Arabidopsis thaliana: one gene and its partner. The protein of the gene in region 2 interacts with the protein of the main gene of each other region in a pairwise test. Each region holds a gene or a part of one and is shown on either strand. Other genes may lie near its edges.

What was found. The genes of interacting proteins can lie anywhere in the genome.
Region 1: the proteins of TRB1 (region 2) and ETL1 interact in a two-hybrid assay, tested with the Arabidopsis thaliana proteins (one study listed by BioGRID).

The regions. Positions count from the first base shown.
Region 1 is NC_003071.7:521,308-527,618, forward strand, and holds ETL1 (SNF2 domain-containing protein / helicase domain-containing protein), read left to right. Parts: upstream 1-1,915; 5' UTR 1,916-2,173; coding exon 2,174-2,758; intron 2,759-2,954; coding exon 2,955-3,072; intron 3,073-3,152; coding exon 3,153-3,193; intron 3,194-3,277; coding exon 3,278-3,528; intron 3,529-3,597; coding exon 3,598-3,778; intron 3,779-3,887; coding exon 3,888-4,073; intron 4,074-4,158; coding exon 4,159-4,332; intron 4,333-4,414; coding exon 4,415-4,573; intron 4,574-4,664; coding exon 4,665-4,742; intron 4,743-4,839; coding exon 4,840-4,976; intron 4,977-5,066; coding exon 5,067-5,285; intron 5,286-5,414; coding exon 5,415-5,577; 3' UTR 5,578-5,761; downstream 5,762-6,311. UniProt on the Arabidopsis thaliana protein: DNA helicase that possesses intrinsic ATP-dependent nucleosome-remodeling activity and is both required for DNA repair and heterochromatin organization.
Region 2 is NC_003070.9:18,493,554-18,498,931, reverse strand, and holds TRB1 (telomere repeat binding factor 1), read left to right. Parts: upstream 1-1,613; 5' UTR 1,614-1,803; exon of another isoform or gene 1,804-2,010; intron 2,011-2,181; 5' UTR 2,182-2,218; coding exon 2,219-2,368; intron 2,369-2,472; coding exon 2,473-2,681; intron 2,682-3,063; coding exon 3,064-3,148; intron 3,149-3,750; coding exon 3,751-3,834; intron 3,835-4,010; coding exon 4,011-4,370; intron 4,371-4,478; coding exon 4,479-4,493; 3' UTR 4,494-4,861; downstream 4,862-5,378. Other genes in the region: AT1G49960 (Xanthine/uracil permease family protein), read right to left, coding at 142-232. UniProt on the Arabidopsis thaliana protein: Binds preferentially double-stranded telomeric repeats.

The DNA.
Region 1 (6,311 bases), on a different chromosome or scaffold from region 2:
AAAAACCATTTCACTAGAAGACATAAACAAAGAAAAACAAATTAAGAGTTTATACTTTTGTTTTTTGTTCCTAAACTTTTGAAAGAATTAAGAGGAAAGATTTCTAAGTTGTATTTTTCTTGTACCTGAGATCAAGAGAAAGAAACCAAGTAGAAGAAGGAAAAAAAATAGTCAAAATTAAAAGCTATAAATCGGAGCTAAAGAAAGAACCAAGAAGAAGATGATGCATGATGATGATGATGAGATAGAAGATGATGATGAAGAAGAAGACACTATTCCTATATATTATGTATTATAATACAAACACAAACCTCAAAGCCCTATCTCTCTCTATCTCTATATCTCTTTCTCTCTCTACTGTTTTGTGTTCTTCTTCTTTTAAAAATAAGCCATATATGAAATGATCTTGAAAAGTATGTCTCTAAGGTCCCCTCTCTGTCTCTATCATTTTATTTTATTTCGATTAATATAAAATAAAGCTACTTTTTTTCTTTCTTATAATTTAATTTGACAGAATTAAGAAGGATGGTTACGGTTTGGGTGTCACTGTTAAAACGGTGAAATGTGTCCACATGCGGGGGTGTGTTGTGGGTACCACATTTTTCTCATTCGTATCTTTCTGGTGAGCTTTAAGACAAAACCCTCGTTTTCTCTTCATTTAACTTGATTAGGTTTTGTTGTACTAACTTTTTTTTAATTGTTTTTATCTAATAAAATCGTTTATAATATAACATATCGTATATTAATACACATGATACACCAATCAATAGAGAATTTTTTAAAATTTGTTAGATTCTTGTATGAAAATTAATATATTGCTTTTCTTCTTTGGTTCAATTCTTCAACCTTTCAGAATGTTCAATGCAAAACAATCGAACCGATTGGTTTTGAATCAAACCTAATTAATCCTGAACGAGTAACCAACTCTCAACCGATCTGAATAGATTTTAAAACGATATATCACAAAATCTCCAATATCACTTTAAGAGCTTTGAGAAAATATTATTGATATATTATTATTCGACCGTAAAGTTTGATTTTCTCCTTTTCACTTGGGCTTTTTAATCTTATACAATTTAGTTTTATTTTAGTTTACAAACGACAACATATTTAAGTAACAGGTGACTTCTCAACTTGATCCTCTCTTCATTACCATCGATGCTTTTTAAGTTATACTGAGATCGTACCAACTGCAATGGGTCAGTGCCGGGCCATATTCAATCAGGGCCTCCCTGATTGGGTTGTAATATGATTTCAAGTTAGTAATATGAAATAGCACACAGTCACGCACACAAAAGAGCCTATATAAGGAGAGATATACCACAAACAGCCCAAGACCCAGTTGTTTTAGATGAACCAAAATTGTATGGAAATATTTAGTATTTGAAACTGCCGTCACCAAGATGGCAAGGTCAGAGAAACTCAATAACAACTCTGTTTCTGCCATTCCGAGAGTTAATATTAATTTTCAGAGTTAATGGATTAGCTAGTAAACATATATATACAAATGATAATAACCTGTAGAATGAGGATTAAGATCGAGAACGACGAGGTTATCTTTACCGCAACATTCCAAACGTAGCCAAAGCTCTATTACCATACCCCTCAATGTACATATCCAGCTTATAAGACTCCTATCCAGTATCCACCATCCAACGAAACACACTCTCAGATTCTTCCACATTATGAATACATGTCAACCAAATAATTTCTCACCTCAACCATCATTTCAAAACCAAATCTTCAAGCAAACCCCATGGATTTAAAAACCCTTTTCAAGTGCGTCAAACAAACCACAAGCTTTTAGATTTGTCGAGAAAGTGAAGTCGTTGGGCCCATTTCTTCGGATCCCTTAAGTTCACCATTAAGTACTCATTAGAGCCCATTTCTTGGGGCCCATTAAGAGATTAAGTCCGCGCGCATAGCTTTTGGAGGATGCCGCTCTTTTGTAAGAAGCAACACGTTGTTGAGTCTCTAACCTTTCTTTGAAATCTTGACCTTTCCCTTCCTTCTCCGCTAAATTCGTTTTAATTTCATCTTCTTCTTCTTCTTCAATTCGATGCAATAATAGTCACTTCAATCTCAATCTAGGGTTTTCAATTTTCTTCATGTGAATTTTTTTTCCCCTTCTTCTCAATTTCAATTCAATCTGGGATTCGTAAATTCTCGGAAGATGAAACGCGATTTCGACGAAATCTCCGAGGAAGAGTGGTCTCAACACTCGTTTAACGCTTCGCGAGTTCTTAAACGACCACGGACTCCGAAGAAGACTCGCGCGGCGACGAATCCAACGCCGTCGATTGAGTCTTTTGCGTTTAGGAGACCTTCGACGGCGATGACGATTGAGAGTAATAGCAGCGATGGTGATTGTGTTGAGATTGAGGATTTGGGAGATTCGGATTCGGATGTGAAGATTGTGAATGGTGAGGATTTGTTGTTAGAGGATGAAGAAGAAGTGGAAGAGACTAAGGTTGTGATGCGCGCTGCGAGAGTTGGTAGGAGATTTGTGATTGAAGATGAAGAAGCGAGTGATGATGATGATGATGAGGCTGAGAGTAGTGCTAGTGAGGATGAATTTGGAGGAGGAGGAGGAGGAAGTGGAGGAAGGAGAGGAGAAGATGAAGATGTTGTGGGGAAGGCATTGCAAAAGTGTGCTAAAATCTCAGCGGATCTTCGAAAAGAGCTTTATGGTACTTCTTCTGGTGTTACTGATAGATACTCTGAAGTTGAAACTTCTACTGTCAGGATTGTCACACAGGTACTGGAAATTATCACTTTGGTGTTCTTAAAGTAGTTGCTTTGAGACGATTTAGAGTGTCTTCCTTATACAATTGTGAAGTAACTTTTGATTAGATAGCATATTTTGGTGGTAAGCTTTGATTGGTTTGGTTAGAGTTTACTGTTTTGTTAACTAAAACTTGTTTACTTTTGGGTTGAATCTGTGATGATCGCAGAATGATATTGATGATGCATGTAAAGCAGAGGATTCTGATTTTCAGCCTATACTCAAGCCGTACCAGTTAGTTGGTGTTAACTTTCTTCTTCTGTTGTATAAGAAAGGAATTGAAGGAGGTATGTGTTTTTACTAGTTTCGATCTGTAAACCTTTTTAGCGTGAATGTCACTTTGTAACTCACTTTCTATTGTTTGTAGCCATTTTAGCCGATGAGATGGGTCTTGGAAAGACCATTCAGGTGCATTTTGCTCTGTTATTACTGGATAAGTTTTCTTTGTTTCTTTATCTTATAAAGAACTAATTTTGTTCTCATTTACCTTAGGCAATCACATATTTAACCCTCCTAAGTCGCTTAAACAATGACCCTGGTCCTCATTTGGTTGTATGCCCTGCCTCTGTCTTGGAAAACTGGGAGAGAGAGCTCAGAAAATGGTGTCCGTCGTTTACTGTACTTCAATACCACGGAGCTGCGAGAGCAGCCTACTCAAGAGAATTGAATTCTTTGTCAAAAGCTGGGAAGCCACCACCATTCAATGTGCTTCTTGTGTGTTACTCTCTGTTTGAACGGCATAGGTGCAACTCTTGATGCTTTTATTTGCTTTTTGGCTTTTCCTGTTACTCACAGATGTTGGAATTTTACAGTGAACAACAGAAAGATGACCGAAAAGTACTGAAACGGTGGCGCTGGAGCTGTGTTTTGATGGATGAAGCCCATGCGTTAAAGGATAAGAATAGTTATAGGTGGAAAAACTTGATGTCTGTGGCCAGAAACGCAAACCAGCGTCTTATGCTTACAGGAACGCCTCTACAAAATGATTTGCATGTACGGTTGGTTTCTGTTGATTTTTTCAGGATCTAATTACCTAATATAGACGACATTTCTTCATGTGGTCATACAATGCTTATTCCCTGCATATGTTTGGTCTATGCAGGAACTATGGTCGCTGTTGGAGTTCATGTTGCCTGATATATTTACGACAGAGAATGTTGACTTGAAGAAGTTGTTGAATGCAGAAGATACTGAGTTGATTACTCGAATGAAATCTATCTTAGGTCCTTTCATCTTGAGGCGTTTAAAATCTGATGTCATGCAGCAACTTGTTCCGAAGATACAGCGGGTATGGATATATCTATGCACAATTAAGTACACGATATTAATCTTCTAGCTGCAAATCTCATTAATTTCCCATCAATCCAATGCAGGTTGAATATGTATTAATGGAGAGAAAGCAGGAAGATGCATATAAAGAAGCCATAGAGGAGTATCGTGCTGCTTCTCAAGCACGGCTTGTGAAGCTTTCATCAAAATCCTTGAATTCTTTAGCCAAGGCACTTCCAAAGCGTCAAATTTCAAACTATTTTACTCAATTCCGGAAGGTAATTCTCAGCTACTAATACAAAGCCCCTTTTGTGCCAAATGAGTGTGTTATTCATGTGTTATTAAATTTTGGTTGTACAGATTGCAAACCATCCATTGTTAATTAGGCGGATATACAGCGATGAGGATGTCATTCGCATCGCCAGGAAATTGCACCCAATCGGTGCATTTGGATTTGAATGTTCCTTGGATAGAGTTATCGAGGAAGTTAAGGGTTTCAACGATTTCCGTATCCACCAGGTAAATGTTTCTCTTTCCAAAAGCAGTTGAATATCCATTAACAAACATGTTATGCAATTGAAGAAGCTAACTAACTTGTTTCTTTCCATAGCTTTTGTTCCAATATGGAGTTAACGATACCAAAGGAACTCTCTCAGACAAACATGTCATGCTCTCAGCAAAATGTCGGGTACGTGATATTCTTCTTCATTTCATAAGTCTTCTTTGTGAAACTGATTAAGTATAACTAAACCTGTGAGCGATCTAAATCTCCCTTTATGTATCAGACATTAGCTGAGCTTCTCCCTTCAATGAAGAAATCCGGCCATCGTGTTCTAATATTTAGTCAATGGACATCGATGCTCGATATCTTAGAATGGACACTTGATGTCATCGGCGTTACATACCGAAGACTTGACGGCAGGTAATAAAAGAAAAAAGAGTAATTTGTCACATTTTTGACGATTCTACAAAAAGGAAGAAGCTTAAGTCATTTTCCTTTTGTTTTCAACAGTACTCAAGTTACAGATAGACAAACCATAGTCGACACATTCAACAACGATAAGTCGATATTCGCATGTCTCTTGTCAACTCGAGCAGGTGGACAAGGTCTTAATTTAACCGGAGCGGATACAGTCATTATTCACGATATGGATTTTAATCCACAGATTGATCGGCAAGCTGAAGATCGTTGCCATCGTATTGGTCAAACAAAACCAGTCACTATCTTCAGGTTTGAGCTTTAAATCCTTGAATCAGTTTAGATAACTTTCAGAACAAAATTGTGGTTTGGATTGGTTTATGTGTGCTCTGTTTTGTATTCTCACATATATCTGTATTAACTCTGGCAATGCTGGTGCAGACTGGTGACGAAATCGACGGTTGATGAGAACATCTACGAGATAGCGAAGCGGAAACTAGTTCTTGATGCGGCGGTTCTAGAGTCCGGAGTTCACGTAGATGACAACGGAGACACGCCTGAGAAAACCATGGGAGAGATTCTTGCTTCTCTTCTCATGGGATAACATTATTGTTACCTTTTTTGTTTTGAGGTAAAATTAGTCAAGAAACGAAGTTAATGTGTTATTCTAAACATGTGTAACCACTAGCTATTATTAGACTTAAATTTAATAGATCACGATAGTTATATTTTCTTCTACGCATGTAAATTATAACCCAAAAATTTCCTTCTTTAGACCTAAAAGTCACAATTGTTCCAAACACTAAAATGTGGATCAGTGATCAAATGAAGTGAACCTTCAGGATAGTTTAGTCTTCGATCATCAAAGATTGTATAAAGGAGTGACTTAGCTGTATTTGTAGGTATCAAAATTGAAAACCTCACGCAATGATTAAAGGTCTCAAGTATCTTTATTCGTCAGAGTTGTATAAGACACAAATCTCACTAGATTGTTTTCCCATTGTCTTTGCCGAAACCTAACAATGAACAACTAGTTCTATTAGGATTGGTTCAAGAATGTCACATAGTATAAGTTTTTCTTAGCTGAAAAATTCTAGATAACTTGGAATAAATTCTAGATAGTCTTTTTTTTTTGCTACATTTGAAGATAAATATCTATGAAAATGTTCAAATTCATGATTATATTATTGCGATTAAATAATTGAATATGACTATACAAAATAATTCACTAGTAAATCAAAGCCATACTAAGTTTGGATTCTTTGTGGTAACTGCCATTGCCAAGTCACGTTTTGAAGGTGTTCTCATGGTCAATTTACACTTAAAATTGAACCTGAA
Region 2 (5,378 bases):
TACAACCCTAATTTAAACTAAATCGTATAGTTCATCACTATCGGTGAAACATAAATTCATTATCCTAAAGACTAAACATAATTTTACTGCTAATAGAACACAACTATATAACAAAATCTAAATGAAAAGAAAAAAGCATACGCCAATTTGGAGAGCTCGAGACACAAAATTCGACTCCGGGAAGCTGATCTTTAACTGGAAATGGTGCAAAATCATCGGTCTTTGTTGCCATATCTCACTCGCTTCGAGAAGGGCTACTCTCTTTGTGATGAGAGCTGTAAATTCAAACTAAGGCTTTGCTTAAAACGGATTCAAAAGTGCTAAGTAATCGTTAGGCGGGCAACTTTGTTGACTCTTTCTTGCTTTTTTTACTTTCTGTCTTGTGTTCTCGTGCACGTAATTAACACTAATGCTATACGTAGAAAAATGAACCGGATTAAACCACTGGTGTGACTTAACCAGAATTGTCCACTTGTATATTCATGTGAAGAATATGATGTTTAATATTACAAAGTCTTTATAAGTAGCAAATTATTCTCATCTTAATGCCAAAAAAGTATACAACTAACTCCATCCACCACTTAAACATTCTCTTTAACCAATATCAAGAATTATAACTAATGACTAATTGGTATGACTTATTGTTGGCTTAATGAAAATAAGATAAAACAATAGGATTATCAGTTAAAAAATCCAGAAAGATTTAAGGAGGTTTATTTTGAAATAAATTTGATGAATTATTGTTGCTGACTTGAATTATTATCAAGTACATATTTCATATCATAAATAATTTTGGGCTCATGAGCTAAAAATGTTAATTTGGTAATTTAATAATTTATTTTGGATGGAACTAATTGCTAATGTTTTATTTTGACTGTAATTTGAAATTATTTGGACAATTATTAATTTAAACCCAAATATGAAATTAGTTTGTATTATAAAATCATAAATATCTAGGTGAAATTAGAGAAGGTTCTTTCTTTTTACTGAACATCTGCAGAAAATAAACCTAGTAAAACAAATCAACTAAAACTATGTTCAACGAACTTTTCTTTTTTTTACGAAATGATCTTTATATTTCAAATTTTGGAGAAATTCAAAAATAAATAAATTATAAAACTTTTTAATGTGTTTAAAACAAGTGTATAGATTTGGAAAACTCTCAAAATATCGCAACTACCATGTCCACAATTTTTTTTTAATTAGTGGTACAGTCAACTAGATAATTTTCAGAAAAAATAAACAATAGAGAAAATTCTATGGATAAAATGAAAATAGCATTTTTGAAAAAAAATATCACAACTACCACCCCACCACACATTTCTGAATTATATCTAGCAACATATTTGTATTTTATGTTCAAAATACCACTTAATCATCAAATTTTTAATCACCACCAAAACTTTCAAACATAAACCAAATTGTTCGTGTAAATATGATCTGGGTCACTGCGTATTAGTTTTGATAATATATTTTCTTGACAATCATATTAACACTTCATTTGGGGAATTTGATATTTTCTTTATCATTATTAAAAGTTGAATTTGTAAATATTTAGACAATTTATAATCTTCAGAATATAATAACTAGCGTAAACAAAAACGCGTTTTAAGGCCGTTTGTAAAAAACGCGTTTTAAGGCCGTTTGTGAAAAAACGCGTTTAAAGCTTAATTGGTCTAAGCGGTTTGCCGCATCAGAATTGACGGAGGTCCGTTACTCTGAATCCTTGTATTCGCATTAACCCTAACTTTTTCTGCTTCCCAAGCGTCTCGAAATCTGAATCCAGAGATTAAACAAAAATTGGTATTGCGAATGATCGATTCTTCTTCCTCTAAACTCTGATTCCTGGTGAATTCATCTGTTTCTTCTTTCTCGATTGTGTATATTCTCAGCATGAGATTAGGCTTCATTCTGAAAGAACGGATTTTTCTAGGGTTTGAGTTTCGGCATCTTTCAGTGATGTGAAGTTGGTGTTTGCTATTGCGTCTTAGTTTCTGAACTATTGCTGCGGTATAGTTTGATAATCTATGTTAGGGTTTCCTCGGAACAGGGAATTAGGGTTTTACTATTCTGTGGTATTTGATGATGAATTGTGAGCTACAACTGAAGAAAAAGTTTACATTTTTATGTAGAAACTTTAGTTCTGATTGGTTTCGTGACATTTGATATGTATTGTTGCAGAACGGACTTGCTTTGACACAGCAGACCGTAAATCGGGATGGGTGCTCCTAAGCAGAAATGGACTCAAGAAGAAGAGTCAGCTTTAAAGTCTGGAGTTATAAAGCATGGACCTGGTAAATGGCGCACAATTCTCAAAGATCCTGAATTTAGCGGAGTCTTGTACCTGCGTTCCAATGTTGATCTTAAGGTCATGATTACTTCTTATCCTTTTTGTCAGCTTTGATAATGCTACTGTATTTTGTTTGTGATTTTATCTGACTGGGAGATGGTTTGTTTATTGTATTGGGACAGGACAAATGGAGAAACATGAGTGTCATGGCAAATGGCTGGGGATCGCGCGAAAAGTCTAGGTTAGCTGTTAAAAGGACGTTCTCCCTTCCTAAACAGGAAGAGAACTCACTAGCCCTAACCAATTCTTTGCAAAGTGATGAAGAAAATGTGGATGCGACCTCTGGACTCCAAGTTTCTTCTAATCCTCCTCCAAGGAGACCTAATGTAAGGTTAGAAATGTGTCTATTTTGTTTCTTGTATTGAAGAGGAGTTGCTTTGTTGTATCTCTCTCGCTGGTATTTCTGAAGTTGGATTACATCTCAAAATGTATGGTTTGCCGTCACTTTTTATTCTGTGCAAGTCGATAAGTGTTGGATTACATTCATGTGATATGGGTTTGTTTTCACACCTCTGTTTAAGTTGTCTTCACTGGCTTAGTACATTTCTCCTCCTTCTTACTATTATCATGCGAGCCGTTTGCTCAATCCTATCACTGTGGCTTTATAATTGTGAAATTATGATGAGGATTTGTAAAGTCCCACTTACACGTAGATGTTTGTATCACTCAAATCTTTTATTATAGACAAATTGTAACTTTTAAAAACGTTGCAGGTTGGATAGCCTTATAATGGAAGCAATAGCTACCCTGAAAGAACCTGGTGGCTGTAACAAAACAACAATTGGTGCCTACATTGAGGTATTCTGTTTTCGTTCTTGCATCTTTTTTTTCTTTTCTCATAGACAATATGTATTATTAAATTGTTACTCTCAGCTAAATCGCATCGTGTTACATTTCAATTTGAATGATCCTCAGTGGGTTGATATGTTGTCAACTAGAACCTGTGAAGCATTGCGGATGAAAACCAAAATATAGCCTTTGGTTGTGTCAATAGAATATATTCCTCAATATCAATATAGGCAACGGATGTGGCAGTTTTATTGCAAGGCAATGGGTGACATCTTTATCTTCTCCTCTCCTGAATAGACGAATGTGCATTGAATATCCTGACTGAAACTAAGCTGAAAGGGCTAGAAATATTTCTGTAATTACGAGATTTATTGTGGTGGCATCTACTTAAGTCGATATAATTATGAGAATATCGTAAGAGTAGATTCTGTAGTTAATTCAGAAACACGCCAATGACATAAATATTTTCGTCTACTTATGTGATTCAAGCATGGGAAATATTGAGTTCAACTTGTACGATTACTGCTTTGAAGATTCTTTGTCTAAGTTCCTTGTAAAAGACTGATTTAGAGGACTGACTGTACCCGTGTTCCTTTTTTTTTTTTGTGTAGGATCAATATCATGCTCCACCAGACTTCAAACGCTTGTTGTCTACCAAGCTAAAGTACTTGACATCTTGCGGGAAACTTGTGAAGGTAAGAATTCCTACATTCATTTAATGCTTTTGAGTGCATATATTTTTGGTCTTTTGAATAGTATGTATGACTTTTTGTGCAAATCAATTTAGTTCATGGATGTCAGTAGAACAGAGACATATCCATTATTCACTGCAACTTGCGAGGTTTATTGATCTGGGCTTTCTCTTTTACAGGTTAAACGTAAGTACAGAATTCCAAACTCCACTCCCTTGTCTTCCCACAGGAGAAAAGGTCTGGGGGTGTTTGGAGGAAAACAGAGGACTTCTTCTTTGCCTTCACCTAAAACAGACATAGATGAAGTGAATTTTCAGACAAGGTCACAGATTGATACAGAGATAGCCAGAATGAAGAGTATGAACGTACATGAGGCGGCAGCAGTTGCAGCACAGGCAGTAGCAGAGGCAGAAGCTGCCATGGCAGAGGCTGAGGAAGCTGCAAAGGAAGCGGAGGCAGCAGAAGCCGAAGCAGAAGCAGCTCAAGCTTTCGCTGAGGAAGCTTCAAAGACATTGAAAGGAAGAAACATCTGCAAAATGGTAAAAAAAAGAAAAAAACACCCATATTCTTTTATATCACAAGACATTATATCTATGAGAGAACTTTGAAAATCTCAAAATGCTTTTGTTGAAAATGTGATTCGACAGATGATCCGTGCCTGAGGTAATGGAAAGCGAGAGAAGAAGGAGACTAAATGTGAAGAGAGAGTAGAGAGAAGCCTAGTGTTTGTGTTGATCATTCTCTTTACTTGGGAAGTTGTTTTTTAGTAGTAAGCAATCAAATATGTTTGTCAGTATGTCGTCGCTCTGACTCTTTTGATTCCTGCACAACTTTTGGGAAAAAATGTTTTATTTGGCTCTTCTCACTCTCCAATATACATACAACTATCGTTAGTAATGTGTATAATTTATAGACCGATCTATCTATGCACTATCATGCTTATCGCCAATGAGCATTTTGATTATGTATGTATTATCAATTAATAGTAGTACTGTTTTTTTAAGATATAAAAGCACAATGACTTTGGGACACTATATGGATCGTTTTCGGGTTCAGAAAAGGAATTAAATCCTTTTAAATCCCCTGTAAATCTTTTAAAAACTCTTGTAAATCTATTTTCTATTAAAATTATTTTTTCTGGGGAAAATGATCTTTTGGAAGAAAAAAAAGTTTGGCGGGAAAATTTTTGTCGGATTTTTTTGGTCGAAAAATTATCTTCGGAATAATTTTGATAGGAAAAATCATTATTATATTTTTTAAACCTAAAATATTTTCAAATAAGAGTAAAATGACCATAAAAAATCAAAAGATGGGATAAATGAAAATAAATTACAAAAAATGATAGAATTGAAAAGGAGTAGTTTGAAAGGGCATTCCTAACAATTTCTCCCGATTATATATGTAGTTGGGATTATTAGGTGATTGACAGATATATATATAATCATCCGAAATTTGACATACTAAAATAATTTGTAATCATTGATATTAAAAATAAAAAGACCATGGTATTTTTACTATAATTGTGATTCTGTAAAGAAAATAATACT